4 linked regions of the Notamacropus eugenii genome follow. The main gene of each other region encodes a partner of the protein of the gene in region 2 in a complex. Links are inferred from orthologs where the notes say so. Each region holds a gene or a part of one and is shown on either strand. Other genes may lie near its edges.

Region 1 (7,860 bases), on a different chromosome or scaffold from region 2:
AAGAAGGAAAAGAGGAACAAAGAATAAGGACCAACGAAAGGGCTTCTCCTCTGGTTTCTTTACCTCAGTTATGATGCTCCAGCTTAGCTGAAATAGTGCTGGATTCCTGGAGAGCCTGCCTGATAAATCATTCCCCAAACATTTAACAATAGTTTCAGTACACAGGTAGAAATATTTCTAATTCCAAGAACAAGAGATAGAAAACAGCAGTAGATAAAAGGGTATTGGACTTGTAGGCAAAAGACATATTCAATTGACATTATGAGCTGAGACAAGAGGCAAGTCATTTTAACTTCTTAGTTACCTCATCAATAAAATGGGGATGATCTACTCATAATATCTACATTCCAGTGTGACTATGAGAAATGACTTTAATATTTTAAGGGCTTTATAAATGAGAGTTACAGTCACTAGGCACAAAGGAGCCAATGAAAAGCTAGGGAAGAACATGAAAGTGGGATTTTGGGAAAATTAATCGGGTGGCAAATGTGTAAATGGCATGAAGACAAGAAAGGTTGCAATCAGGAGATCTACATTTGAAATCAGGTAGTGATGTCTAGCAGGCAACTAATGATATGCTATAGTAGAGCTCTGCAGAGATTTGGCCTGGATACACAGATTTAGGAGTGATTTATACAGAGACAATAACTGAGCCCACCAGAACAGACATGATTACTGAGAGAGGACTGAGAAGGCACAGGATAGGACCTTGAGAAACGATCAAATTAGCAGGCAGGAAATGAATGAAGATTCCAAAAGAGGAGCTGAGGAAGAGTCACACAGGTAGGAGAGACAGTAATAATAACCAGCATTCACTTAGCACTTACTGTGTGCCAGACACTATGCCATACATTTCACAATTATCATCTCATTTGATCCTCACAGCAACCCTGGGAGGGAGGTGCTATTACTATCCTAATTTTATAGGAGGAAACTGAGGCAGAGAGAGACATGACCTGAGTTGCCCAGGGTCACACAGCTAGGAAGTGTCAAAAGTCCCATTTGTGCTCAGGTATTCTAACCACTGCCCTACCATCTAGCTGCCACAATACTGCCCACAAAGAGAGCTTGGTCAGTAGTATCCCAATTTACAAAACCAGTGGAAAAGAATACTGGGTTTGGAGTGAAAGTCAGTAGGGGGAAATCAGTAGTTAGAAACAGAAAAAAAAAAAAAAGAGATGAGAGAGTAAACTCCTGGAGGAGATGGAGGGGGGGAAACATGACACTGAGGGCACAGGTAAGGACCAGTCTTCAAAAGGAGACAAAAGGGAAAAAACTTCACTGAAAGAAAAAAGCCACACAATTTAGGAAAATTGAAAATTAAGCTCCATCAACTCTAATTCCCCTCTTTTCTCTCCACCTCCAAACATCTCTTAGCTAGACCTTGAAGCCTGGAGTTCTTCTGCTGGGGAATAATACCGTACAGACTTGACAAAAATAGGGCACTATTCTCATTGCTAATTAATTTTCTCAGTCAAGACATAAGGCATATGTCCCTGTCAAACCATCAGACCTTTCAGCAACTTTTGACACTGGGTTGCAATCTCACTTGAGAGATGTGACACAGATGGTATTACATTAAACTGGCTGGAATTCTCATTCTGAAAGCTCATAATTCTGTACTCTTAAAAATTCTAGCCCCTCCTTCCCAAAGACAATGCTGCGGGAGGAATTTTGAAATTCAATCCTCCATCACTCCAGAAATATTGATCAGGTTAACAACTAAGCATCGATATTTAAGGATCTGAATAGTCAACAAAAATCATCACTCCCCTCGTGGAAAAGATCTTGCCAAAGCTTAATTAACACATGAAATAGAGGTGATTCAAACACCAAAAGCAACATTCTTAGGCCTTGGAAAAGAAATGCTCTGGTCTAGTCACTAACCATCAAAGCAAGATAGAACTCAGATTTCCGCAGGATTTATAACTGGTTCACCACCACTGATTCCGGTTATGTAAAGGATGCTGGGTATGCAGCTACCATAACTTGGTGGTGTAGCCGATGGCCCCTTCGGCCCGGAGTCAGGAAGACCTGAGTTCAAATGTGCCTCGCACAGTAGGATCCTGGATAAGTCACGTGGCCCTGTCTGCCTCAGTTTCCTCCTCTGTAAAATGAGCTGGAGAAGGAAATGGCCAAGTGCTCCAGGGCCTCGGCCAAAAAGTCCCAGTGGGGTCGGGGGGAGGAGACTGGACTGCACAAGTCCCAGCGGCCTAGAAAAGCGAGGACAGGAGCTGGGCGCGGGTCAGGGTCGGCCGGTCCCTAAAGTTCTGTAAGCTTGCAGGCCTCCCCCAGGGGTGCTTTACCCCAATCCCCGGATGTCTGTGCGTGTGTATTTACACCTGTACTCACACGCACGCACACACGCACGCCAGGCCGCCCTCCCCAGTCCCCACCAGGCCCTGGGAACACAACCCACACAACAAACGGGCCCGATCGGCCGAGACAAGGCGCTTCTCGCGTGGATTTCCCCGCCCGGGGGAGGCCCGTGCGCAGCCCCGGGTCCGCACGCGTGTCTCCCCCACCGGCGGAGCGCACGAAGCGCTCCAGGTCTCGGTGAGGCCCGGCCGGCGGCTGCCCGGCCTCGCGGACCCTCGGGCCCGGCCGCGCTCCCTTCGTCCGGCCGTCACGCACAGAGGGGACGGCGGGAAGGGCCAGGGTCCGAGCCCGCACGGCCTGGGACCCCCTTTCCCGTGGGGGCCCCCCACCCCATCCCCAGGGGCTCTCGGGAAGGACGGGTCTGGGAGGATCTGGGGAGGAGGTGTTCGGCCCCGTTCCTCCCACCCCTGGCGGAGCCCCCTTACCGTCCGTCACCGACCCCATCGCGCCCTCGGCGGCGGCGGCGGATCCTCAACCGCGTCCAGCGGCCCCGGGTCAAACTCCCACAATGCAGCCGGGCAAACAGCCATGAAGGCCTAGGGGCGGGGCCTGCCGCCGGAGCCGCCGCCGAGCCGCGCGTGCCCGGGCCCGCCCCCTGGGGGGAGGGGGAGGAGGCCGGGGCGGGGCGGCGAGGGGCGGAGGGCCCAGCACGCCCGGCTCCAAGGCCCCGCCCCGCGGCCCCGCCCCGCGCCGCAGGACGCGCTGCTTCCGCCCGCCAGGTGAGAGCCGCCGCGAGGCCGGGCCGGGCGGGAGGGACGAGGGGGCCAGCGCACACGCGGCGCGGCCCCGAGCGGGGTGGAGGGGTGCGGGGCCGCGGATCTCGGAGCCCCCTTCCGGGGACTGGGGGCTGGGGGGAGGGGCGGGGAAGGGAAGGTCACCGCGGGGGGAGGTCTGCGGGCGTGCGGGGGGCGGGAGGCAGCGCGCGCCGGGGCGGGGGCGGGGCGGCGGCGCTCCGCCCACCAGCTTCTGCTACCTGCAAAGTTCGCGCGGGAACCGGCTCCCGGGCCCTCGTTGTGGGGCGCGGGGCGCGAAGGCGTGCGTGCGCGCCCGGAGGCATGCCTGAGGCGCGGGGGCCCCGGCCTCCAACCTGTCATTACCGTGCGACCCCTCCCCCGCCCCCGCCCATGTCCGGTATAAAGGTAAAATGGGAGGGGGCCGATGCTAGGCTTGTCCCATGACCGCCCCCCGCGGCCGGGGCCCCAAACCAGCCGAGCTTCGGCCCTTGGGGCCGCCGGCTGCGAGGCCACGGAAAGCCCCACTGAGACCCCCCCGTTCGCCAGGTAATGTGGGCACCCCTTCCGACCCCCGACTTGGTGGGCTGCTCGCCCCCCCGCGCAGTCTCCCCCATTTGGGTCCGTTCTAGGGTGTGTGCCAACCCTCCCCAGAGTGGAATCCTACCCAGAGCATTTCCCCTTCTTTGTATCCCCGGGGCCTGGCGCCTGTTGGTGCCTCCCAAATGCTTCTCGATCGCTCTTGGGTATCATTGCCGGCCCGAAGAGATCCCCAGCTGACCCGGGCCCAGCCCCAAGGCCCGGAGACCTCATTGGGTCCCTTGGCCTCAATGCGTGTAGAACGGGCCGTGATTTAATTCTGTGAAACATCCAACTGGAAACCGATACAGATATTTAATACCTTTCTTTATGTTTGCGAGATTATCCTGACCCATTTAAACTACTTGAGTGTAGATGGAAGGGATTTACATTTGTTTTTATATTGCATATTAGGTTGAAGTCAATCAGTGACTGTGTCAGTCAGTCACTTAGGAAGTACTGCCCTAAGAGGTGAAGATGAAAAAACAAAAATCCCTCCCCGTCCTCCAGTGGCTAACGTTCTCGAGAGAGCCTTGAGGTCCTCAAGTTGAGAGGTCCTTAACAAGTTGTGTATGGACGAGGAGATGGAGCTAGAAAGGCCCTTCCTTGGTCCTCTCCTTTAACGCCCTTCGGAGGATGGGGCATTTGTCCCAAAGAACACTGATTTTAAGGGGGAGAGTCAGAATTAGAACCCAGAAAGCTCTGATTCTAAATCCAGCGTGCTTTCTCGTCCAGAGCCAAACTATCTGTTTGTCCTCCAGCCTTGTTCAGTTTATTGAGCCCAGAAGGAGGAGAACATCCCGACTTAGACTAGAATTACTTTAGATCTTCACAATCATTGGTTATAAATCGGATGTTTCATGTCTTTTTAAGGAGTAAATTTTACTAAGGTTTTAATTGGAATGATAATTGTAAGGATGACAGTTGTAAAGTTAACATTTTTTTAGATGTCATTAGAAAGGATGATTTTGGAAAGAAAAGCCTTTTCTTCTGGTGGTGGTGTTTTTTACTTTAATTAAAAGTAGGAAGATATGCCACTCCCCTAGCCCTTTTGTAACTGTGAAATTTTCTGGGGAAGTTTTATCAGATACAAAGTTGCCTTTGAGGACACACTGTTATGTCGTTTAGTTCTGGGGAGGGAAGGGGACTGACGAGAAGAACCTTCATTTGTCCGATATTCAGCGCTACTCAGCACTTGATGGCACTTGAGTAAAGGTGGCTGCATGCAGTATCATTATTTTAACCTTCCGCTCTTAAAGCCTTATGGTCCACACAATTTAATCTGATTGGATTATCTCAGATACATGGTCATTAATGTGAGTGATGAATTCAGTAAACCTTTCTTAAGCCACTGCTGGGTCGAAGGCACTTTGCCAGCTTCCCAAAATGAAAGTTCCTGTCCAAAAGGAACTCCCTTTCTTCATTAATTACCCTTTTCATAAAACATCATGAAATTAAGTAAGCAAACAGACAAAATAATTTTTCAGAATTTAGTCCCTGTCTTTGTGCATTCAGTTCCTAACGGCAACCTATATTCATCAGTATTTTACGTTGGCTTAAATCGGGTAGGTGGTACCGTGAATAGAGGCTTTACCTGGAATCAGGAAGACTTCCTGCAGAGGCATTTACTGGCTCGGTGACCCTGGGCAAATTGTTTAACTTCTGTTTGTCTCAGTTTCCTTATCTGTAAAATGGAGTTAATAATAGCACTTACCTCATGGTTGTTATAAGGATAAAATGAGATTTGCGAAGCACTTGTAAACCTTAAAGTAATATGTAAGTGCTAGCTATTTTATTGTTATTATTAAAGTAAGAAGAGCCCGATTTTTAAATATTTACTTCGCCTTCTCCCTCATTTAGAGTAAGAGAACAGTTTTCCGGTGGAAATGTAGAACTGAGATAACAGTGATATGCTTACAATCCTTCTCATCACATACTTACTGTGGCCATAAGTACCATTACTTAACCAAGGTAACAAAGCAATTTAGATTCTTGATTTCTTTATATTTAAGAGAAACAGGTTCACACCTACCTGCTTTGACTTCCTCCTCACCTGTGCTGGAATTCTGAGCAGAGAAACCAAGTGGATGATATTCTTTTATTTACTTTAAAAAGTAATTTTTCCTCCACTGATTTTATTTTTCATTTTTCTGTGTCTTGATGGAATGTATTGACACTTTGTTACCATAGAGGCTCCAGAATCTGTTTGAGCATAAATAGAGTACCTTGGACTCTCGTAAAACTTCAGGGGCGGCTCTGCCATAAACTCCACTAGGTTTCTCCTTCTGGATTTTAAGCTCCCTTACAGAAAGAACTATCTTGTTCAGTCCTCAAAACTCAGCCCCCTAGGAACCATATCTTGTTTAAGTCTATTAGACTGTGATCTCTCTGTTCTCTGTGACTGTCTCCTGCTGGAGTTTAGCACAGGATAGTTTGGCACATAGTTAAGTTCTTAATAAATGTTCATTGACTTTTATTTTTGTGACCCCAGTACCTGCCACAATGCACAGTCAACAAGTCTGACTGGTCTACTATGTGCTGTGGACCATGTTAAGCACTGGAGATAGAAACACAATAAATGAAATAATTTCTCCATGCAGTGATATACCATTCTAATGGAGAAGACAGCAAATACATATAACATCTACTCAGCAGAAATATAAAATTAATAATATATTTAAATATGTGTATACATATACACAAAGTACATTTGTTAATTTATATTTATGTATACATACACAGAGTAGTTACCCATAAGGAAAATGTTTTTTAATTGAACCAAATAGAATTCTTTCCAACAAATTATCTTCTTATCCCTAGTGGTATTTCCATCTTGAGCTAAGAGCCTCAAACCAGAAGCTGAAATGGTTCCTGTTTTCATCGGGAAGGCCCTCACCCAGGGGCAGTTTGGCTGGTGGGTTGTGCCCAAATCCTGGAGGCGCGCAGGCCTCTACACGTTGGGAGCCCTGGCCCGGGATGGTTTGTGGTCTGGAAGAATATGAGCGATTCTCTAGATTTGTTCCTTAGCTGTACTATTATTCAGGTAGAATGTACAGAGATCACCTGTCGTTGTCAGCTCTGGCTGTATTAGCCCGAGATCTCCTTCTGACACCCATTCAGTGACCCCCTGACGGTTAAGTAGCTTGTGGCCTCATAGCTATTAGGAGATCTTGAATTCTGCTTAGAACTGATTATATCATACTATGTTTGTCATGTATAATTTTCTAAATTTCTCTAGTTTTATCCAGCCAGGTGTGACTGTGTTTTCTTCTGTCGTTTTTTTTTTTAAAGTTAAAACATATATCAACACAGTTATCTTTGGAAATTTTTTAGATTTGATATTCCTGCTTATTTTAATTATCTTCTTTGAGGGAAAAGTGAGGTCACCCCTTCATGCTACCAACATGAAACCATTGCCATGAAGAAATCCCTGTCGTTGGCCTTTCCTTCCCTTTCTGCATGATATGTTTAGTTCAATAAAATACACAAAGGTACCTCTTGTGCTCCACACAGTCTAGAGATTAAATGAGGATATGTGTGTGTGTATGTGTGTGTATGTGTGTGTGTGTGTGTGTGTGTGTGTGTGTGTGTGTGTGTGTGTAATTTCATCCAGCTGAAGCTGAACCTCATAGCTCCTTTTCCTTTGGTGCTAAGTTTCATCTCTTCCCCATTTCTTAACCATTGTGTATATAGAATAGAGATATACTAGGGAAGAAAATGGATCATGTTTTATCCTTTTCTCTCTCTTTCTAAAGTCATTTAATCATATTTTTAATAGAATAATATTGTTTTGTTGGCTCTTGTTTTGGAATAGATTTTTAAATGTAAAATTGAAAAGAAAACTACATGAGAAATTGTTTGGAAGCATGTTTAATAGTTTTGCATATGAGGAATGAATTATCTCAGACATTTATAGATGCACAGGATTTATTTATTAAATTAGAGTTTGTTTTAGGCAGAACAAATTTTCCTTATTGCCATTCTACTCCAACCCCAAATTGAGAACAAAAGAAAAACGAAACTCATTGAAAACATGCATAGTCAATCAAAACATATTTCCAAGTTGACCATATTCAAAAGAATATGTCTCATTCTTCATTCTGTGTCCTCTCTCTTAGGAGATGGGGAGCATGTTTCATCATGAGTGCTCTGAAATTGGAGAGACACAAGA
Region 2 (7,416 bases):
TGACTTGATTCCAGAAAGCCAAGAACTAACCTCTGTGCAGGTCTTCGTTGTGTGTCAATCTGTGATGTAACAAGCTGAATATTCATAGGGCGACCTGCAGGAGAGGAAGAGGGGAAAAAAATCACTGTTCTATGGAACAATTATACATTGCTAGCAATGTTCTAGGCTCCATGCAAATAACACTGGATGGGTACCTTGTTGTCTCATTCTAAATACAAACATGGGAAAAGACTGGAAAATATTTGAGAAAGACAAATGGCAAGAGAGAAACCACCAACCTCCTCTTTGACAAAGTTAAAACTGGGTAAATATTCAATAACTTTTTCTTTGGTGGAAATGGGTGGAAGAGGGAAATACACCTGGCTGACCTAGTGGAAAAAAGATCCAGTACCTTTTTCTTTATCATTATAGCCCCGCTCTTTGAGGTGTACTATGGTGGTTCTGGGAAGGCCTCACAGAAGTGAATCTTCAGGAAGGATCTGAAGGAGGGGGTCACAAGAGGTTGGTCCAGATGTATGGGGCAGCACGAAAGGTGGCAGAACGGAAGAGAGAGACAAAGCGGGCAAATGCAAAGTGTGCTCGGCCAGAGTGGGCAAATCATATTCCTACACGGGCAGATGACAGCCCCATACTCCACAAAACGTAGCACCCAGCCCTTCAATGATGGAAGGCTCAACTTACCATCCAAAGGGACACCATTATACTGTTTCATGGCCTTCAGAGCGTCTGCTTTTCGCTCAAAGTGAACATCTGCTGTCCCTAAGCTCCGGCCAGACCGATCATAATGTACAGCTGCCTTTTTTAGAGTTCCGAATTCAGCAAATAGTTCCTAAAAACAGGAAAGAAAGGAAAAATGACTAACAAGGCTCTCTCCTATAACGTCCAAGGAAGAGGACCCCAGTAATATTTACATTAGGAGTTATGTTCCTGGAAGGGAACACACATCTAGGGAGGAGAGGGTGGGGAGAGCGGAACAGCAACTTCCAAAAGCAGCTGGGCCTGTCCCGGGTCATGCCAACTTTGGGGCATGCCCTCTGTATGATGCTATGGGCCAAAGAGTACTTTGCCCAGCGGAGAGGGGAATAATATTCAGCGGCTGTCTTTTCTCAAGGAAGAAAAACCACTCTTAACAAAAGAGTGTTCTAAGAAATGAAGAAAACCTCCAGGTCACAGAGCAAGGGAAGCTTTGCAGGCCACTGTAACAGATTTAAGGGCCCATTGATTCAATAGACCTGATCCCAGACCCACCCCCAGAAGGCAGATTCTGGCTCACCTGCGTTTCCCTCTCCTCCTACTCAAGCCTGCCGCAAAGTCTGACGTCAAGCGCTGCCATGGAAACTGCCCTGACCTCACGGCAGGCTGGGAGTTGGAGAGGGAACCCAGAGTGTGGGGATACTCCGGCCGCAGGCACACAGCGGGAAGTGGAGTTCACCAAAAGCGGTTTCCAGTGGATGCCAGAAACCACCTTAAAAAAAGTGTTGACACACCATGAGTGCTTGTCTGCCTTGCTCTGTCCTCCCACAGCAAAGCCGTATGGCTGGGCTCGAGGAAGTAGGACCCAGGAAAGCCTGGCATCCAGTCCCAACCATTTCCAACCTCCAAAGTTTTAACTCCTGGAAAGGAGTTTCTTAACAGGAAAGAGGTTAGATTTTTTAAAAAAGAGCACTGTTTTTTGACTTAATCCTGAAACAGGTGCTTTGTGGATGCCCATTTCTATACCAGAAGAATGAGCATCGGACATATTTTGATGAAGAGCCAATTAAGGTTACAAGGCTGCTGCTTCTTTGCTCTTTTAGCCTGAGAGAAGCTACACCTCCTCTCTCAAACCTAGCGTTTTCAGCACAACAACGAACGACACAAAAATCTGTCCAGGCTCAGTCACTCTGAACGGCCTCAAGAAGCCTGGGAAGCAAAAATCCCGGCCTACGCCAGTTCCCCGCAGCCCTCACTGCACCCTCAGCTTTACCACTGACAGCCTGGGCTCCAGAAGGAGGGATGAGGACCAGTCACCTGCAAGGCCCGTGGGGGGTCGGGGGAACCCCGCGCCGTGCACTTGGCTCCCGACAAGGGGGCTTCCGCGGGAGCCGCCGCACTCCTCACCTGAATATCCGCATCTGAGACCCCGAAATCCAGATTGGAGACCAGCAACTTCCCACCGGTCTCGACGCCGGCCCCGCCTCCAAAGCCGCTGTCGAACAGGTCGTGCTGCCACTTATCTGGAAGCTGCTTCGGCTGAAACAAACACAAAGGTCGGCGAGTCGTCCCCCCACCCGGCCGGGGCCTGGCGGGTTCTCCTTTCCCTGGGCCCCCTTCTCGCTCCCGCTGGCCCGGGCGAGGGGGGCAGGCGGTCGCCTTCCCGCCCCCACGTTCCCGCCGCCCCAAGCAGGCCCCAGTTCCCGCCCTGAAGGTAGCCATGAGGCTCCAGGCCTCGGTGGCCCATCAGAAACAAAAGGCCTCCGGGGGGTGGGGGGTGAGGGTCGGCGATCCCTCGGTCCTGGGTCAGCCCCCCCCACCCCCGCACGCCCCCACACAAGGACCCGGCCTTTCCCCTTCTGCGCCTCGGCCTCCCAGGGCTCAGCCCCCTCAGCTCCTCGGCCGGCCCGCTCCGGCCCGCTCGGCCCAGGCCCGGCCCAGCCTCCCGCTCTCCCCAGGCTGGCTCACTCACTCGGCTGTAGGGCGCGGGTCGGTTCCTGCCGCCGCCCCCGGCGCCTCCGCGGGCCATGGCCGGCCTGTTCCGGATGGGCCCCCCGCCTCGGCTCACGCGGGCGGCCGCCTGAGCGCCCCCGCCGCCGCGGCCGCCCTGGGCCCCGGCCCGGCCTCGGCCCCGGCCCCCGCCGCGTCCGCCCCGCTGACTCCGGTTGAGTTTAATGATGTCGTCCAGGGACATGTCCATCTTGTCGGCCATGGCGGGCGCGGAATCGGGGCCTCGGCACGAACCCCGCGCGTCAGCACGTCGGTACGTCACTTCCTTCGCGGCCGAAGGTTCAGGGCGCTTCCGGGACGCCTGGGCTTGCCTCCGAGTTGTCGGCGCTCGGCGGGCGGACCGAGCTCCCGGCAGAGCCTCGCTCGTCCTCTGCTCCGGCCGCACGCTGACAGCCGCTGCCCGGACCCCTGCGGCCCTTTTTGTACTTGTCGCGAGGGCGCCAACGGAAGGGCGCGAGCTCCGGGAGCCAGGCGCGAACCCAGGTGTGAACTCTAGCAGGGGGCGCTATAACTCGGGAGGGGGCCTGCCGCCCCCGGGAGGAGAAGAGAGCCCGGGAGCGGGGACGGGGGCGGGGCCGGGGCGAGCCCGGGGGCGGGGGCGGGGCGGGGCCGGGGGCTACCGTGGGGCGCGAGAGAATTCGGGGGAGCGGGCGCGTAAAGCGAAGGGCCTGGAGTCCAGTAGGGGCCCCCGACGGAGGTGGGGGCAGCATAAAGAAGGGGCTTAGACTCAAGGGAGAACTGTGACTGGAGGTGAGAACTCGGGGTGGGGGGGAAGCCCCTGACTCAAGTGGGAACTCAGGAGGGACCTGGGTCCTGCGCTGGCTGAAGCCCAGGCTTGCCTTAGGTGTGAGGCCTGAACCCGGTGGGAATTCTGGGGAGGGGGCGGAGTCACGTGAGCCTGGGGGAGGGGGAGTAAGCGGGGCCGCCCCAGGAAGAGAAGGAAACTGATTTGGGCTCCCCTGCTCCCCTGCTGCGAGTGGAGATTTCTTTAGTTTTCATGTTTTCTCCTTGATTCCGTTCGAATCGGTGAAGCATTTCTTAAGGGCCTGTTGGGTGCTGGGAATCCAGAAACCAAAACGGAACCACCCTTGCCCCTAAGGGGCTTTTATCCTACCGGGGTGACGGTCGTGTTCTCATCCCAAGACAAGACGGCTCAAATCTTAGTTTTCTCTAGGAGTTGGTGCTTTCATAGGTTTACAGGAAATCCTTCTCTAGCAGGCCATTGAAGCCAGGAGACCAGATGTCACTGCCCCATTCTAAGGATAAGGACACTGAAGCTCAGAGAAATGAAAAAGCGAAGGGTCGCATGTGTTGCACAGCTAGAACGGAACCTTGGGTCTTCAGGCTGTCATTCCCGTGTGCCAGGAAGTGGTAGAATCTCGAATGCACGGGGAAAGGATTTTGGAAACAGCAGTGTTCAGGGAGAATTAAACTTTGAACGATTGCTTTATTTTTATTTGTTAAAATATGCTTTATTATTTTGTCATTGATTCTTTTAGTGCACAAAATTTTCCTCAAGCCTTATCCCACTGGAAGGAGGAAAAGAAGGGAGTGAGTATAGACAGAACACAGACTTTTACAAGGTGAGCAATCTATTCTCCTTCCATCTTTTGTCCCAAGCTTTTTTGTTTTGACACCTTATAATGATCTACTTTACTATGTACGTCTATAGTACGTATATAGACATGTATCCGGTCTATACACATAGACGTATGCATATGTCTATGTGTCTGTGTGTACACATACACACGTGTATCTGTAAAAACTTCCCAGGACTTCTGTATAGCATACTTTTAAAAGTGAAAGTTAAAAACAGTTGATAACTTTTGTGCTTTTTAAAAAAGCCTTTAGGAAAAGCTTAGTGGATCACCATGTCAAACCCCTTTCAAATAGATAGGAAGCTCTCTGTTCCTACTTGTTCTGTTTGGTTCTTTCAAAGCTTCTTATTGGAAGTATCAAGCATTTTTCTTGGCAAGAAAGAGCAAGGAAGGTGAATCTTCTCTCTAGGACAAGTCTTTGGCTTTGTTTTTTTGAACTTCAAGTAGGTAAAGGTATAGTCATCCCATGACATTCTTGAGGGATAGGGCCTCTGGGCCCCTGAGAATGTGAAAAACCAGGAACAACTCTAGGCCCTACTCCCAAACCTTTATTTTTAATAGTTCAGATTATATTTATTTAACACACAAAACAACACACTGCATATGTTTTTAAAAAGTTGCAATTTCTACATGAGAGAGAGAGCAGTATCTTGTACACTTTGTAGCTGCAGCAACTGCTTCGTAGATTTCCTTTTGCAAGTTGCAAGATTAAAAAACCATTGCTGGAGAAAATCACATGATTATCTGGATTGTAGAGAGAAAAAGAAGAGGTGGTCCTAAAGAGTGCATAGCTCAGGGAAACTTTTAATGAAATGTAACTTTAAAATAAATTTATGTGTATATACTTATGGTAGCAAATGAGAAAATAGAGTAATACTACTATATAGTTTTTATACATTTGTGATTTACTAATTTTTTTGGTTTTTTTATATACACAAGTCATCTGAAGTTTTCTACAATACACTGAAAATCTCCAAAAATTCCCATTTAATTATTGATGGCCAACCTTCGAATGACCAAAACCTGGAATGTGAAACCCATAAATGTCTAGGGATGACTGTATTCCTAGTAAGCCTCAAAACTATTTCTTGGCAAAAAGACCATTCCCTTTGTGTTGCTGTGCCTCCTGCCCTTTAAAGATACCTTGTTCCCCTAGATTTATGTTAATTACAAATCTCAAGCAATGAGGAACAAAGACATAATTAATGTACTTAGTTACTACCTTTACCCAGGTCTTTCACCATGGAATGGATTGTCACCCGTAACCTCTACCCAAATTGGTGTCCTCCCCAGACTCTTCAGCAAAGTAATCTCCTTTCTCCTTCCCAGGATACACACTCACCATGAAGGTGAAGATTAAGTGTTGGAATGGTGTAGCCTCCTGGCTTTGGGTTGCCAATGATGAAAATTGTGGTATTTGTCGAATGGCTTTTAATGGCTGCTGCCCAGACTGTGAGTACATCTCTCTCATCATGTTGCTCTTGCTTTTACTTTCTTCCTTTCATTTGGATTTTTTCTGCGTTAGTATTTACTAATGGGTCCCAATCAAGATGAATTCATTGAATGAATTCATTTCTTATTGCATAGGTGAAGGAAAGTCTCAGCAGTCAACCAAGGGCTATGATGCTTTTGCAAAGAAAGTATCAGGCTTTTGACCAAAAAGATAGGCTGATTTGGATGTTTTTGTGTATGTCTATTTTGCATAATGAGCAAGAAATTAACTCTAATTATAAAAACACAATAATCAATTGGTTCTGTAGTCAAAAAAATTCTTTGAATCAGACATTTAAGCCATAATCTAGGATGGATATGGATTCATAGGACTATAGATCTAGAAACGAGGAGTCTTCGGTTCTGTCCTTTGTTTTTACAGGTGAGGAAACTGAAGCCCAGGAAAATTAAATGATTTGACTGAGGGCATACCAGCAGTCAGCATGGGGGGCAAGGGGTGATTTTTGTCTTGGTCCTCTTGACTACAGAGCCTGTGCTTTCTATTGGTCCATGCCTCTTTGGTTTACATTTGTATGCTACTTTACAGTTTGCAAAGTTCACACTCTTACAAAAACTGAATGCATGTGCAGCTTGAGCATTGCTGTTATTGAAACTTTTGGACCAGATGTGTGGTTTCATTAGTATAGGAAACTACGAAGAAGAAAACTTGTAACAATACAAAAACCTCTTACCTGATTTGCAATTCATTAACTCTCCTTGGGGAACCTAGAGGCTTAGTGTCTTGCCTGACATCAAACATTCAATAGGTATCAGACATGGGCCTTTATCTAGAACCTACTAACTCCTTAGGCCAACTCTCCATCCTTTATACTGTGATGCCTCACATCATAGATTGTAGAATATTGGTCAGAAACAGGGCCTCAGAGAGGCGAATGAATTAGCTCATGGTCACCCATTGGGAAAGGACGCTGGGTATATGTGTAGGATCAGGGGAGTGCTTTTTAAAAAGAGACTTGAAGACTGATAGGTGGCTTCTTATCTGTGCTTGTTTGAATAATTTATGGTTCTATGATTGTGTGATTGTGTTACTAAGATAGGGAGTAGTCTGACTCATTTCCAATTAATAGAATAACCCCTAGGGAACTGTCCTTATGTACCCTATCTTTTTTTCCAATCTCTATTCCTTTCTCTAATTTTCCTCTACTCATTCTCTTCTTCTTAAATCTTCCTTGACCTAGTAAACCTCTCACAGAATCTACGTAACTCTCCTTTGTTTCTTTATGGAACTGATAGATTGCAGGACATAGATGTGTGTGTGTATTCGTCCTTCATTGACAAAGACCATGCCATCAGAGAAATAATGATATGACTTGCACTTGACTTTGTTTTGAGTGAGGGAGGGCTGTGCAGGTCACCAGCCTCACTTCTCCTCCAGAGCCATCTGAATCCAGTGACCAGATATTCATCAGGATGACTGGAGATGACCCAGGATGAGACAGTTGGTGTTAAGTGACTTGCCCAAGGTCACACAGCTAGTGGGTGTCAAGTGTCTGAGGTGAGATTTGAACTCAGGTCCTCCTGACTCCTGCACTGGTGCTCTATCCACTGCACCACTTATCTCCCCTAGGACATAGATATTGAGATGGAAAGGACCTTAGTTGTC
Region 3 (7,453 bases), on a different chromosome or scaffold from region 2:
ACAATCATAGCACATCTCTCTCTCGGACTTCCAAGTAGTTCTGGTATGGAAAAGGAGGAAAAGGAAAACTGGTGAGCCTGGGAGACAAGAAACACACCCTCTCTGGGGAAGGGACTCTGAAGCCCTCGTGCACTACTGAGCCAGAGCAACACAATGGGGCAGCATGCCACATTTGGAGCTGGAGGACTAACATTAGCCTGGGCTCAGCCACTTCTGTGTGATGCAGTGAGTGACTGGAGTCCTGGAGTTGCAATCAGGGAGACCTGCACTAGAACCCTGTCCCAGACACTTACTACTGTGTGACAATGGGCAAGTTGCTCAGCCTCAGTTTCCTCATCTGTAAAATGGAGATTAATAATAGCACCTACCTTCCAGGATTGCTGCAAGGATCAAATAAGGTAATATACAGAAAATGGGTACAGAACTTAAAGTGTTCTGTGTTCAGTCTTATACCTCAGCCATTCTCTACTTTTCCCTCTCTCCCCAAATTTAATCAGCTGCAGGTCTACCTGATTTTAACTCCTCTCCACTCCCAAGTGAGTCAACGTAAGCGAAGTGCTACATAAATGCTTTTATCATCATTGAGTTCACACCCTGGTACTTCTCACCTGGGCTATTTCAATAGCTCTCTGTCTGGCCTCCAATCCAGTGCATCCTCATAGGACTGTCAAAATAAGCCTCCTAAAGCACAAGTCTCTGCTCAAGAATCTCAGAGCCCTTATGGCCTCCAGGACAAAATACAAATGCCTCAGCTTGGCATTCAAAGACTTTCACAACTTAGCAGCCGCCGCCTTCCAAAGCCATTCTTGGGAGCTCTGCGTGGGGAGCACTGGCCTAAAGGCTACTCCTCAAATTTGGCCTGGCCTCTTCACTTCCATGCCTTTGCCTAAGCTGTAGCTCCCCACTCCCCCCAAGTTTTCACTGTCTCATCTCCACTGTCTATAATACCTGCCTTCCCTCAAGGATCACCTCACATGCCATCTCCTAAGAGAAGCAGTCTCTGATATTCCTGTGAATTGTGCCCACTCTCTCCTCTTCCAATGTTCATACCTATGCTGGTCTACATGGTGAGTCTCTCCAAAAACACATGAGCATCTTCAAAGTAAAGCCTTCTGCTTTGTCTCGCTTAACAGTGAGCCTGCCCACTGAACAAAAGCTCCCTGGCCTGGCAAGTCTTGGGCTGTCTCTCATCCAGGGCTCAGGCAAGGAAGGGGCTTTGCTCTCAAGCATTTATTAAGTTCTGGTTGTGGTGCAGGAGAGTGAACACTGAATTTGGAGCCTGTGTGGCCCTGGATAAATCATTTAACCTCTCTAGTTCTCAAGTTTTCTCATGTGTAAAATGATAGGGTTACACTGAACAAGCCCCAAGGTCGACTCCTGCTCTACAGCTAATCTCATGAATCAAATGCTATTAGATACCCTGGAGGTGACCAAAAAAACCCCCACAAAACTCAGTCCCTAAGAGTCCTTATGCCAGGCTCAGAAAAAACAAAGACAAGCTGAGACGGCTCCTGCCCTTCAGGAGTCTACACAATAGAGTGGAGGAAAGCAAGAGAACATAGAACCAGTTTTAAAACTGGACATGACTTTATAGATCACTTAGATCCCCTTTTTATAGGGAGAAACTGAGGCCGAGGGAATGTCCCCACCTAAAGTCACCTGGAATGTGAGAAACAGCGTGCATGTGTGAAAGTAAGTGCAAAGCAGCTGCTGGGGAATGGGGGAGGGCTCACAGCTTGGGTCCATCGGCCCACTGTGTTTACTAGGCACCTGCTATGAGGAGGTGCCCTGTTCAGGGCTCTGAAGGGAGCACTAATGCAAGGAAACCAGCCCACTCGCCAGGAACTTTAGTTCAGAAAGGCCCCCTAAGGAGATAAGGGGCAGTCTGAGGGGAGCCCAGGCTCCATGCAGGAGGCAGAGGTGAGGAAGGAACACATCCCCGGGCTGGCCAGAGCCAGCAAGGCCTTAATGCGCTTTTCATTCATTTATTTAAAGCACAGGGAACACGAGGGGCAGTCAGGGAGGCAGGAGGTGGCCCACGGCTCACAGCAGGTGCACCAAATGTCTGGTAAAGGGCAAAGGCCACAATCCAACTTGGGGCACCAGGCTGGGCCGTTCACCTGGAGGAGTTTGGGGCTGGCGAAGGCCAGGAGTCTGTACTAGATCCGGGGCCCCAGGGGCCACCAGGACTACTTGAAGAGGGGACTGTGCCTGGGCGGGGGGAGGTCTGGGAGAGATGAGCCAGGACAGGGGGTCTGGGGAGGGGGGCACAGGAGGGAGAGGGGGCGCTGGGGGGGGGCTCCTGCAGGGGGGGGCCGAGTTGGAGGGAAGGGTTCTACAGGAAAGTTAGGGGTACTGGGGAGGGGCTCGGGTGGGGGAGGGGGCACTGGGGAAAGGACTCAGGAGGGAGAGGGGGCGCTGGGGGGGGGCTCCTGCAGGGGGGGGCCGAGTTGGAGGGAAGGGTTCTACAGGAAAGTTAGGGGTACTGGGGAGGGGCTCGGGTGGGGGAGGGGGCACTGGGGAAAGGACTCAGGAGGGAGAGGGGGCGCTGGGGGGGGGGGGGCTCCTGCAGGGGGGGGCCGAGTTGGAGGGAAGGGTTCTACAGGAAAGTTAGGGGTACTGGGGAGGGGCTCGGGTGGGGGAGGGGGCACTGGGGAAAGGACTCAGGAGGGAGAGGGGGCGCTGGGGGGGGGGCTCCTGCAGGGGGGGGCCGAGTTGGAGGGAAGGGTTCTACAGGAAAGTTAGGGGTCCTGGGGAGGGGCTCGGGTGGGGGCCCGCGGAGGAGGGGAGGGGGGCGTACGTACCTGAGGACGGCCCGGGACTCGGGCTGACGCCCGCACAGGCCGCTGGGGCTCCCGCGGGGCAGACGGAAGCAGGACCCGGACGCCCACCGGACGGGGGCGGAACACTGCGGGAAACAAAGCCCGCCGCCTCGCCCAGCGACAGCGCGGACCAAACGAGAGCCGGCGAGACTTCCGCTTCCGGCGGCCAGAGAGCCCGAGCCACGCCCACCAAATACCATAGAGAAACAGGCGGGAGGAGCGGCGCGCGCCGGGGCTCTCTGCTGCCCCCTAGTGGCCCCTCTCTGCTTAGTCTGGCTCCCGACAGTGGTTGGGAGCAGCGCGATCTAGCGGACACAGAGTCAAAGCCCACCTCGGCCCCCTGTGGTGCTGTGTGAGGAGCGAGTCACAACTTCAGTTAAGCAGAGCAGATCCGGTCAGCATGGGTGGAAATAAGAGGTCCAGGCAATGGTGATATATAACATTTATTCATCAACCGCAGATAGAGAAGGTACTTGTAGTTGGAGCTGCGCCTTGAAAGAAAATAGGGATTCTGAGAGGTGGAAGGTATTTTGTCTCACTTCCATCCCTGAGAATCCCTGATTTCCGGCAAGGCATTCTTCAAGCCATTTTTATTAGATAGCCTATGATTTCAATGGTGAAGGATCAAAGCCTTGTCTGCACCTTAAGAGTCTTAAAGGCTTCTCATTTCTAAGTCTTAAGAGATTGGATGGGATTCTGAGAAGTTAGTGAACCCCACTCATTTGACAGATAAGGAACCCAAGACCCTCAGGGATCAAGTGACCTGATTAGAGCTACAGAGATAGGAAGTGATATAACTGGGTTTTAAACTCAGGCACTTTGATGTCAAATCCAGCACTCTTCAATTTTACTTTTATTAGTAATAATAAGCATTTCCATAAACATATTAAAAACACAAAATAGGATTGGTATGTGAAATCATGAGTCTCCATTACATACACTTAAAGACATACACTTTCAAAATTGGTCTCCTCAACTGTATTTCCTTCTGTTCTTTTTCATATATTTTCAAAAAAATGTTCAGTGGTCATCTTTGTTGGCTCCTGCTCATTTCTTCTATCTTGGGACCACTGGAGATATGGTTGGCCAATGTTTCCTTGGAGTTCTTAGGTCTTTCCCTATCATTTTTCAGTGTGATGTTATCTGTGTATACTTTGTTTTGTTTAATTCACAACACATTGGCTCTTACTTCCTAAAAACATTTTTTTCATCATCTCTTAGAAAATGATCATATTCTATTACCAGCATTTGTTTTTTGGTGACCACCATTTGTTCAGACATTCTCCTAATTGTTGAACATTCTCTTAGATTTCAGTTTTTTTCTTCTCCGCTTTGGGATCCAGAAGTTTCTTTTGCTGGTGACTATATCCTCACAGGCATTATTTCCCCTCTTAACCTCTCTTAATCCTACCTTATTTCTTTGTTGTTTTATTCAACCCTCTGTTGTTTTGTTCAACCCTCTTTTGCCTGATTCTCATAAGAGATTCGTCTGATATATTTTCCCTATCCCTCCCTCCATATTTGAAAATATTTGTATTCTCATCCATCCCAGTTATGAGAAGCAAGTTCTATTCCCTTTTTCCTCCATTCTAGACAAGTATATTCTTTTCATTCTCCCTTATTTTTCCCCTCTAAAAATCAAAGCAGAACTAATCCAAAGCCAAGTTCCTGTTTTTCTTATTCAACTCCTTCAATGATCTTTGAAGACATTATAATTCTGAAGGGGGACTTGTTTGTTCATATTAAATAAGGTCCCATTAATTGCTCCAATAAATTTACACTTTGCAGAGTAAGTTATCCTTGGTTGCAAACCAGTATCTCTTCTTGCCTTTTGTATACTGAATTCCATGCTCTCCTCTGATTTTTGGTAGATGCTGCCAGTTTTTGTATGATCCTGATTTTGGTTCTTTGGTATTTAAACTGCTTCTTTTGGAATGTTTGAAGTATATTCTCTGATGTAGGAGCTCTCACTTTTGGCTATGATATCAGTAAGACTTTTCCTTTTGGGGTTTCTTTCAGGAGATAATCAGTGGATTTTCTTGTCCTCTGGTTCTAATGAATCTGGGTAGTTTTCATTTGTGATTTCTTGAAATATAATGATTGTCTTGATCATTATTCAGTCTGAAGTAAACTTCAGGTTTTTGTAGGAGTAAGTAGGTATGTGAATGCTAGATGTTTCTTTACCTTTCTCCAGGTTTCCAACTTGGATCCCCTACCTCCCTAACTCTCCTTCCCTCTCACTCTGGAGCTTATTTTCAACAGTAATTGTACTCATTGGATCAAATTTTGTGTTCCCTATTGCTGATTTAAAAGTCAAATGAGTTGGCCCTTTTAAAGAGAATTTAGCTATAAAGAAATGGAAATGACTTCCACAGAATCTGGTCATACTCAGTAAAACAAAACAAAAACCCTCCCAAATATAGCTGCAATCTCGTCATTTCAAGGTGACTCATGTCTACATGGTTAATCAGAGCTAGCATTTACACAGCATTTTCAGGTGTGTATACCATTTTACATGCTATCTCATTGGATTCTCACAACATTGTGAGGAAGGTGCTATCATTATCCTCATTTTACAGATGAGGAAACTGAGGCTACTGGGGATAGTGGTGAAGTGACTTGCCCAAAGTCACACAGTTAATGTCAGGGGCAGGATTAGAATTCAGATCTTCCTAACTCCAAGTACTGCCCTCTATCCACTTTCCACCTAATTGATTCTCTATTTAAGTTAAAATACCCCTCTACAACTACGAAAAGCTAAATGAAAGGGGAGGTCTTTGCAGTGAAGACAATTTAGGTTTGACACCAGGATAGATTTCCTGAAAATGAGAGTTATCCTAAAGTGGAATGAACTGCCTAGAGGGCTGATCAGTTTCTCATCCTTGGGAGGTCAGACAACCATGTCAGGTATGTTATAATGTAGATTCCTTTTTTAGTCTTGGCTGGACCAAATGGCTGCTGAGGTCCTTGCCCAACAAATCATCATTCAGCCTTTACTTGAAGACACCCTGGCCCCAAGACTTAATTGAAAGGAGGAAGTTTTGCCTGACACAATGCCAAATCTTCCTCTTTGAAGCTCTCCCTCCTCTCCACTGCTCCTGGCTCTGCCCTCTAAGCCCAAGAAGAAAGAGGTGATCCACCCAAGTGGATCTTTCCTTCAGAAAGAGTTCCCAAACCTTTCCTGAGCCTTCCCTTCCCCAGACTCTAGAGCAGGAGAAATAGGCTAACCTCCATGATTTTCCCAATGTGTCCTCTGCCCAGGAGTCTCACTGAAAAACTCCAACCCTGTCTGTCTCCTTTGGTGCCAACCTCATTTTCCGAGCTGATTCTTAGCTCCTCCCCTTCACCAGCTCCAATCTCTCCTATCTCTGGAATCTCGGGGCAGCGGGGGGAGATTCCTGGCAGGTGAAGAAGAGCAAACACCATTTCTATTAAATATTTAATTAGGTCAGTCAGTGACTTTCAGTACAGGCGCCCCAGAGGGAGAGGGGTGCAAGCGTCATGAGATACAGGGATCTGAGGAGGCCCAACCTCCACTTCTCCCGCATATTGCAATGATCCCCACATGGCAACAGATAGTCACAGAAGGAAGGACTGTGGACCCAAGAGGAAATAGGAGGAAGGAGAGAGGAAGATGATAGACAAAGTCCCCCATTCTAGAAATGGGGGGGGGGGGGACAGGGAGAGCACAGCCCAGAGCCTTAAAAAAAACCTACTGGGAGAGCTCCCCTTCTGCCTGGCAGGTGGCTGCAGTGATACTTCAAAGCCTAACGCGGAGACATAACCATGGAAATAGGCATAGCACAAAGGTAAGCCTATCCTTTCATCAGGCCCCGAGCCTCAGGCAGTGAGTTGTTTTTACAGCCCTCAATCTTCCTATAAGTCCCCATCCCAACAGCCTTGACCTCGGTTAGCCCTCTCACTGGTTCAGGATCATATGATAAGAGCCTGGGTTAAGAAGCAAAGAAAGGGACTTGGCTCAGGTGCATCAGGGAAGCCAGAAGCTGAAGGCCCCAGCTCTTGCCCCTAAGCTCTAACCACAGGACAACACCACCTTGTATGTAAAAATGATGGTATCTGTGATGTTCACATGGAAGGAGACCAGGCCTGGGTAGTCAATGAAGGGGCCTTGGGAAAAGGAAATCAGAAGCTGAGATCTGCTCAGACTTCCCTGGGGGATAAGGAATTGGCCAAACAAAGAGAATTAGAAAAATGATATCTGGCTTGAAGGGTTTGCTCCTCACAACAATCCTGTGAGGTAGGTGGTGTTGTTATCCTCATTTTACAGATGAGGAAACTGAAGCCCAGAGACATAATGGGAAATGCCCAGCTAGTTCCATGGCTAGTAAGTGTCTTAAGCATGATTTAAACACAGGTCTTCCTGATTCCAAGCCCCAAATTCTATCCACTGAGTCACCTAGCTGCCCTAAACCAAGGGAAGAACAGAAAGGTGGTTGGGAATTAAAAGTAGCCAGCTCTTGGTCTAATTCAGCTAGCCTCAGCCTGACCTAACTCCTTGAGGAGCCCAACAGACCCCAAGGAAGGAATGAGGCATGAAATCTAAAAGGATGTAGGGGAGCAGGGGAAGTGTGATATGAGGTGATGTGGGGGGGGCAAAGGGAAGGGGCAGT
Region 4 (7,045 bases), about 23 Mb from region 2:
TGCTCCGTCTTCGGCCACCTCTATAAAAGGGAAGGAAAAAAGATAGTCTGTCAGGGTGACTAGACCATAAACCAAATATTGTTCTAGTTTACTCATTTGTATACACCCAATTCACAATCACTCGCTCTTTCCTCCTACCTCCTTTTGCCTTTGGGTGGCCCCCGCACAAAACACCAATCTACACTGATGGGCTGCCCCATCATGTCTTGGCCATTGAGTCCCTCCATGGCAGCTTGAGCCTCCTTGTATGTCTCGTATTCCACCAAAGCATAACCCTAGGGGAAAAGAAAAAAAGTCTCAATCCATACAAGGCATGGTAATAAACCTCTCTTGTTCTTACTTATCAAACCTTAACTTTGATTAAATAACTCAAACATCAAGCCCTGTAAATTTCTGTTAATGAATGTGCAGTATGAACATAACACTTATACTACGTTCCTGTTGTCTGTTACAATGACTGTTTCTCTGTGTCTAACTACACTTTCAGTATTACTTTCATCCAAATTTGCTCATCGCTGCCCACAAAGTAAACCCTCGAGCTCTGACTGCCCACCTGGATCCTGAGGGCCCAAACTTCCCACTTACTTTAAGGTATCCTGTGCGCCGGTCCAGGTTCAGGTGGATATTTTTTATTTCTCCATACTCGGAAAATTTATCATGTATGTCCTCCTCGGTGGCTTCTTCGTGGACCCCAGTCACGAAAAGGATCCACCCCTCAACAGCTGGGGAGTCAGAGCACAGGCGGGGCGCGATGGTCAGGGGGAAGGATTCCACATGCCGGGGCTCCTCCCACTGCGTCCCCTCCCGGACTCCCGGCACTCACAGCGTTGCGGTCCGGGTTCGTCACCATCCTGCTCCACGCTGTCGTAGTCCTCCCGCATTCGGGCCCGGGACCCTTCCTCTGTAAGGTCCACGCCCACCAGGGGTCAGTAAATAAGGGCGGCCCACCCCGCGGCCCCCCTCACCCTCCTCTGTCCCAGCCTCACCTGAGCCGAAGCCGCGACCCTTGCGTTTCTTGGCCTTCTCCTTCAGTTTGTGAATGCTCTCTGAAGAGAGAGGAGAGGTGGGTCAGGGGGGCCCCGCCAGGGGAGTGGTGCCCGCGGCCCGGCCCGACCCCTGCGGCTCTGCCTGGGGCGGAAGACCCTCCTCCCGCCGTCTATCCATTCCGAGGCCCGGGCCCTCTAACTCTCCGCCCACCCGCTCCGCACCATCCCCATCCTCGTCCATGGCGAAGTCTTCGCCTCCGGCCTCATGAAGATCCAGCACGTCTGCCATCTTGCACGGTTCTCCGGTTCCTCGGAGCAGTTCTGCACCAAGGCACGGTGGGAGACGATGGCGGGCTTAAGAACCTCCCCACGCGGTGTTGTTGACTGCCTGGTTAGCCAATCAGACCCCTCGACTCCGAGGCTCTCGCTTTTCTTTGGCAGGGAGGCTGCCCGCTCGCGCAGGTCCAGTGGCCGCCGGGTCTGAAGAGTAGGAGAGGCGGAAACTTGAAGAGAGGGCTTCCTGGGAAGGAGGCCAGAAGAGCAGGTCACGTGATTGGGGGCGGGGAGAGGCCCGGGCTGCGCCTGCGCTTCGCTTGGACGCTCATTCCCGACTCTCCCCTGGTCCCCGCCCCCACCCAGGCGGGGCCTCGGGCGTCTAACCGTCGAGCTTTGCTCCCTTCCGTGGTTCTTCTTGAGTCTTCCCAGCGATTCTTTGCTCTCTCGCTTTCCTTTCTTTTCTCCTCCGAAGCAAGGGCGGGAGAGGGCGCCATCTTCATTTCGCAGCCCACTTTCGGTGCTCGGCTGGACGGCCCGCGCCAGCCTGCCTCGGTTTGCGTGGTTGGAAACTTCAGGGCAGCTTCTCCCCTCCCCCCTCCAAAAAAATAGCCAGAAGCCGGGTCGGAGTCACTTGGTTGCTGGAGAACTTCCTTAGCCTCCCCTGGTCTAGACGAGATGATAATCGCCTCCTGTAAGGCACTCGTTCTTAAACCAGTTACTTTTTAGGGAGTCTAGGGCTGAAGTCTCCCCCAAGCCCGGGACTCCATCCCCTTCCTCTCTGAACTCATGATCTCAGCTCCCTAACTCCTCCTGAGCATCTTTGTCAGCACCTTGCTGGGTCAGTCCAAAAACCCCTTCACAGGCCGGCCCCGTCGTAGTTGTGTGTGTCCTCCCTCCAACATGGAGAAAGGCAAATCTGCAGGCTGCCTCTGTTTGGAGGTGCCCAGCACCCTCATTTTGCAGGGAAGGAAAGGAAGCTGACTGAAATGGCTCCTTCCGTGATCCCTAGTGAGATCCTTACGGATTTCTGTTCTCCAAGTTGACCCTGCTTTAGCATCTGATACCGCCTCTTTTCTGGGATACTGCTGTTGGGGTACAGACTCTGGGAACTTCCTGGAATCTTCCCACTTATTCTGGCTTTTCACGCTCAAATCTGTGACCCATAACCTAACCAGGCCCTGCCAGGTCCGAGGCTTCCAGCTTGCCTCTGGCTGGTTCTCATCCTTGATTACCTCCCACCCCAGCCCTATGTTGTCCCAAGCCTCCAGTCGTTTCCCACCCTTGATTACATCATTAGTTACCCTGGTCCCATCAAGATTCTCTTTTCACGCCTCCTCCCAGACTGCTAGACCACCCCCAGATCCCTCCCATCATCTTTCTGTATATAAATTTAATCTCCTCTCCACTTACATGCTCAGTTTCAGTCCAGTTCTGATTCTGTCTACCTTAGATTCTACCTGACCCACTTGGCAATACAAGCAACACAAATGGTTGGGCTTCCTGAGAGTCGACCCAATATGGCAAATCTTTCATAAACTTTGGCTGAAAGAATGCTTGTCAAATGCATTCAGTCAGGACCCGGCTTGTCAGTATTTTGGGACCCCGAGTACCCCTAAACCCCAATGTTGTTAGTGTGTACAATGTTCTGTTTCTGTTCACTGCGCTTTTCATTTCATGTCAATCTTTCTAGGTTTTTCTGAAATCAGCCTGCTCTTCATTTCTTATATCACAACAGTATTTCATTACAAATACAATTTATTTAGCCATTCCTAAATTGATGGGAATCCCCTCAGTTTCCAATTCTTTGCCACCACAAAAAAGAGCTGCTATAAATATTTTTATACAAATAGCTCCTTCTCCTCCACCCTGCTTTTTAAAATTTCTGTGGGATAGAGACCTAGTCATGGTATTGCTGAGACAACAGGTATGTAGTTTTATAACCTTTTGGGCATAGTTGCAAATTGCTCTCCAGAATGCTTGGATCAGTTCACAACTCCACCAACAGTATATTAGTGTCCCAGGTTTTCTACATCCCCTCCAACATGTATCATTTTCCTTTTCTTTCATATTAACCAATCTGCTAAGTGTGAGTGGTACCTCAGTTGTTTTAATTTGCAGTTCTCTAATCAATAATGATTTAGGGTACTTTTTTCACATGACTACAGATAGCTTTGATTTCTTGGTCATAAAACTGCTATTCATATCCTTTGACTATCAATTGGGTTGCAACTTGCATTCTTAAAACTTTGGTTCAGTTCTCTATTTTGAGAAATGAGATCTTTATCAGAGACACTTGCTGTAAAAATTGTTTCCCAGCTTCCTGCTTTCCTTGGTTTGGGTAAACTTTTTAATATAATCAAATTTTCCATTTTCCATTTCCATTTTATAGTGCTTTCTTTTTGTTTATGCATAAATTCTTCCCTTCTCTATAGATCTGACAGGTAAACTATTCTTTAGTTTCCTAATGTTTTTAGGGTGTTGTATCAGTAAGCACCCCAACATACAGGGGGGTCTTCTATCACAGGTTCTTAGATCTGCATTCATAAAAGGAAAGCAACTTTCAAGGGGTAACAATCACTTTAATCAAGCACATGTATCGTTCCTTTTAACCAAGTACATCTATCATTCAGTTAGTTCAGGGAGTCAGCACCCTGAATTTCAAAGAAAATACAGAAAAATCAATAGATCAACAGACATAGCTTCCTCTGCCTGAATTCAATAGACAACTGGACCCCAACTGTCTGACCATAGTTTCCAGAGAGGGAAGCACTTGACACCTGGGTTCTCAAAGCCAGGGGACTCTTGGTGGTTTCCCAGAGTCCTCCTCTGGCACTCAAACTTTATTACAAAAACTAAACCCCAAAGTAAAACCTCAACTCAGAGTATTTATATCTTTTTTAGAGCCAGAGGGCATCACAACCCTTTAACCCAGTGCCTCAATAGAAAAAACAAAAGGTACTTAGGGCCATCCTACAAAACAACTCTCCTAATCAAGCTTCCTACAATGGGCAGGCCCATCAATGGGTGGGAAAGATTTTTTTAATAATTATTTTGTTTTCAGTGTTCTATAATCACTTCTATATATCTTAGATGTTTTCCCCCTCTCTCCTCCTACTTCCCCTCTCCTTCCCCACACCCTCTCAGAGATGGCTTGCTATCTTATATAGGTTTTACATATACATTCCTATTAAATACAATTTCACCATAGTCACGTTGAATAGAATTAAAATGAATGGGAGAAACCATAAAACAAAACAGAACAAAACATAACACACAAAAAAATGGTCTGCTTCATTCTGTGATCCATTTCCACAGTTCTTTCTCTGGATGTGGAAGGTATTTTGCCTCAAAAGTCCATTGGCAATTTCTTAGGTTGTTGCATTGCTATGAAGGACTAAGTGTACCAGAAAAAGGGAAAGATTTTTAATCACATTAAAATAATTAACAATAGAAATACATACACTGTTTCTAGTTAATGAAATTCTAGTTTCTGTACTTTACTCCTTGTAAAGACTCTTGACTGATAAAGGCCAGATTCAATCAGAGGCACTTGATTATACTAAAATAAAAACAGCAAAAGATCCTAGTCACAGGTACCACCCTTTTATATCCTGAAATTTTGCTAAAGTTGTTAATTATTTCAACTAGTTTTTTAGTTGATTCTCTAGGATTCTCGAAGCATATACCATTATATCAGCTGCAAAGAGTGATAGTTTTGTTTCCTCATTGCCTATTCCAATGCTTCCATTTCTTTTTCTTCTTTTATTGCTATAGCTAACATTTCTAGTGCAATATTGAATAATAATGGTAATAAATTACCTCCTTGCTTCACCCCTAATCTTATTGGGAAAGCTTAATTTGTTCCTATTACAGATAAAGCTTGCTGGTGGTTTTAGATACTACTTATCGTTTTTAGGAATGTTCCATTTATTCCTATGCTCTATAGTGCTTTTAATAGGATGTTGTATTTTATCAATAGCTTTTTCTGCATCTATTGAAATAACCGTATGATTTCTGTTGGTTTTGTTATTGATATGGTCAGTTATGCTGATAGTTTTCCTATTATTGAATCAGCCTGCCATTTTTGGCATAAATTCCCCCGGTCACAGTATATGATTCTTGTGATATATTGCTGTAATTGCCTTGTTAGTATTTTATTTAAAATTTTTATATCAATATTCATTAGGAAAATTGATTTATAGTTTTGTTTCTGCTCTCCTGGTTTTGGTATCAGTACCATATTTGCGTCATAAAAAGAATTTTGTAGAACTCCTTCTTTACCTGTTTTTCCAAATAGTTTATATAATATTGAAATTTTTCTTTAAATATTTGGTAAAATTCACTTGTGAATCTTTCTGGCCCTATGGATTTTTTCTTAAGAAATCCATTGATGGTTTGTTCAATTTCTTTTTCTAAGATAGGGTTATGTATTCTATTTCATCTTCTGTTAACCTGGGCAATTTATGTTTTTTGTAAATACCCATTTCACTTAGGTAGCCAGACTGGCATAAAATTGGGCAAAATAGTTCCTAATAATTGCTTTAATTTCATTTTCATGGTTGTAATCCTAATGGGGTTCAGACTCTGGGAGCCTCCTTGAGCTCCCCTTCAATCTTCCCACTTAATCTGGCCTTTCTTACCCAAATCTAATCTTCCCATTTGTTCCAGCAGTCTCAGGAAGCCCATGGGCTTTTCATTATCATTCTACTCAGGTCTCTGTTGCACCCCCCCACCCTTGATCCCATCAAAACTCCATTTCCCAGGCTGCCTACCACTCCCATCAAGATTTGTATCCATTCCCATACTGCCCCTATCAAGATCTCTGGATTGCCCACCTGCTTCCCACCCAAACCCTCCACAGTCTGATATTTCCTGATAGCCTCCAGCTGTTTCCAGCCTTTGACCCTCCTTGGACTTTTCCTCAAGACCCTTCCTAAATCCATCCTCCCATCACCCTGGAATACCAGACCACCCCCCAGATCCCTCCTATACTCTTTTCTGTATTTAAGTTCCATCTTGCCTCCATGAAGGCGCTCAGATGCAATCTAGCTCTGACTCTGTCTAGCTGGGATTCTATCTGGCCCTCTTGTGAATACAAGTGTTACAAATACTTAGGTTCCTTAAGAGGCAACCCAATTTGTCAAATCTTTAATAAACTTTGTTTTCTTTGGCTTTAAAAAGACTTGAGTCGAATTCATTTGAGCTCGACCTGGACCGTCGTGTTTGGGGTCCCCACCAGCCCTCAACCTCGTCAATCCTACCTAGCTGCTTTGCTTTCTCATTTTTGACACTGATAATTTGGCTTTTTTTTAAAAAAAATAAAACCAGCTCCTAGTTATTACTTCAGTGGTTTTCTTTCAGTTTTATCAATCTCATTTTGGACTTTTAGGATTTCCAATTTGACGTTTAACTGGGGATTTTTAGCTTGTTCCTTTTCTAGTTTAATTGCATACCCAACTTGTTGATTTGTTCTCTATTTTATTGATGTAAGCATAGAGAAATAAGTTTTCCCCTAGGTACTGCTTTGGCTGCATCCCACAAATTTTAGTATGTTGTCTTATGGTTTTCATCTCTCTTTAATGAAACTGATTATTTCTAGGATTTGTTTTTTGACCCACTCATTCTTTAGGTTAAATTAGTTTCCAATTAATTTACAATCTGTCTCTCCATGGTCTTTTATTGAATTTTTATTGCATTATGATCTGAAAGGATGCATTTGATATTTCTGCCTTTCTGCATTTGTAAGGTTTTTATGTTCAAATATGTGGTCAGTTTTTGTGTAG

The links.
Region 1: ALYREF (region 2) and THOC7 share a complex: the UniProt entries of both Homo sapiens proteins name them as parts of the transcription/export (TREX) complex. The link is inferred for Notamacropus eugenii from reciprocal best matches to the Homo sapiens genes ALYREF and THOC7.
Region 3: ALYREF (region 2) and THOC5 share a complex: the UniProt entries of both Homo sapiens proteins name them as parts of the transcription/export (TREX) complex. The link is inferred for Notamacropus eugenii from reciprocal best matches to the Homo sapiens genes ALYREF and THOC5.
Region 4: ALYREF (region 2) and RBM8A share a complex: the UniProt entries of both Homo sapiens proteins name them as parts of the ALYREF/THOC4-EJC-RNA complex. The link is inferred for Notamacropus eugenii from reciprocal best matches to the Homo sapiens genes ALYREF and RBM8A.

What each region holds. Positions count from the first base shown.
Region 1 is NC_092874.1:460,485,466-460,493,325, reverse strand, and holds the start of THOC7 (THO complex subunit 7), read right to left. Parts: upstream 3,004-7,860; 5' UTR 2,824-3,003; coding exon 2,805-2,823; intron 1-2,804. UniProt on the Homo sapiens protein: Component of the THO subcomplex of the TREX complex which is thought to couple mRNA transcription, processing and nuclear export, and which specifically associates with spliced mRNA and not with unspliced pre-mRNA.
Region 2 is NC_092873.1:325,989,721-325,997,136, forward strand, and holds the start of ALYREF (THO complex subunit 4), read right to left. Parts: upstream 2,906-7,416; coding exon 2,666-2,905; intron 2,233-2,665; coding exon 2,101-2,232; intron 830-2,100; coding exon 682-829; intron 95-681; coding exon 31-94; intron 1-30. Other genes in the region: ANAPC11 (anaphase-promoting complex subunit 11), read left to right, coding at 2,868-3,186, 4,203-4,258. UniProt on the Homo sapiens protein: Functions as an mRNA export adapter; component of the transcription/export (TREX) complex which is thought to couple mRNA transcription, processing and nuclear export, and specifically associates with spliced mRNA and not with unspliced pre-mRNA.
Region 3 is NC_092875.1:16,143,568-16,151,020, reverse strand, and holds the start of THOC5 (THO complex subunit 5), read right to left. Parts: upstream 3,009-7,453; 5' UTR 2,805-3,008; intron 1-2,804. UniProt on the Homo sapiens protein: Component of the THO subcomplex of the TREX complex which is thought to couple mRNA transcription, processing and nuclear export, and which specifically associates with spliced mRNA and not with unspliced pre-mRNA.
Region 4 is NC_092873.1:303,231,546-303,238,590, forward strand, and holds the start of RBM8A (RNA-binding protein 8A), read right to left. Parts: upstream 3,019-7,045; 5' UTR 1,276-3,018; coding exon 1,209-1,275; intron 1,047-1,208; coding exon 987-1,046; intron 902-986; coding exon 824-901; intron 723-823; coding exon 586-722; intron 276-585; coding exon 139-275; intron 21-138; coding exon 1-20.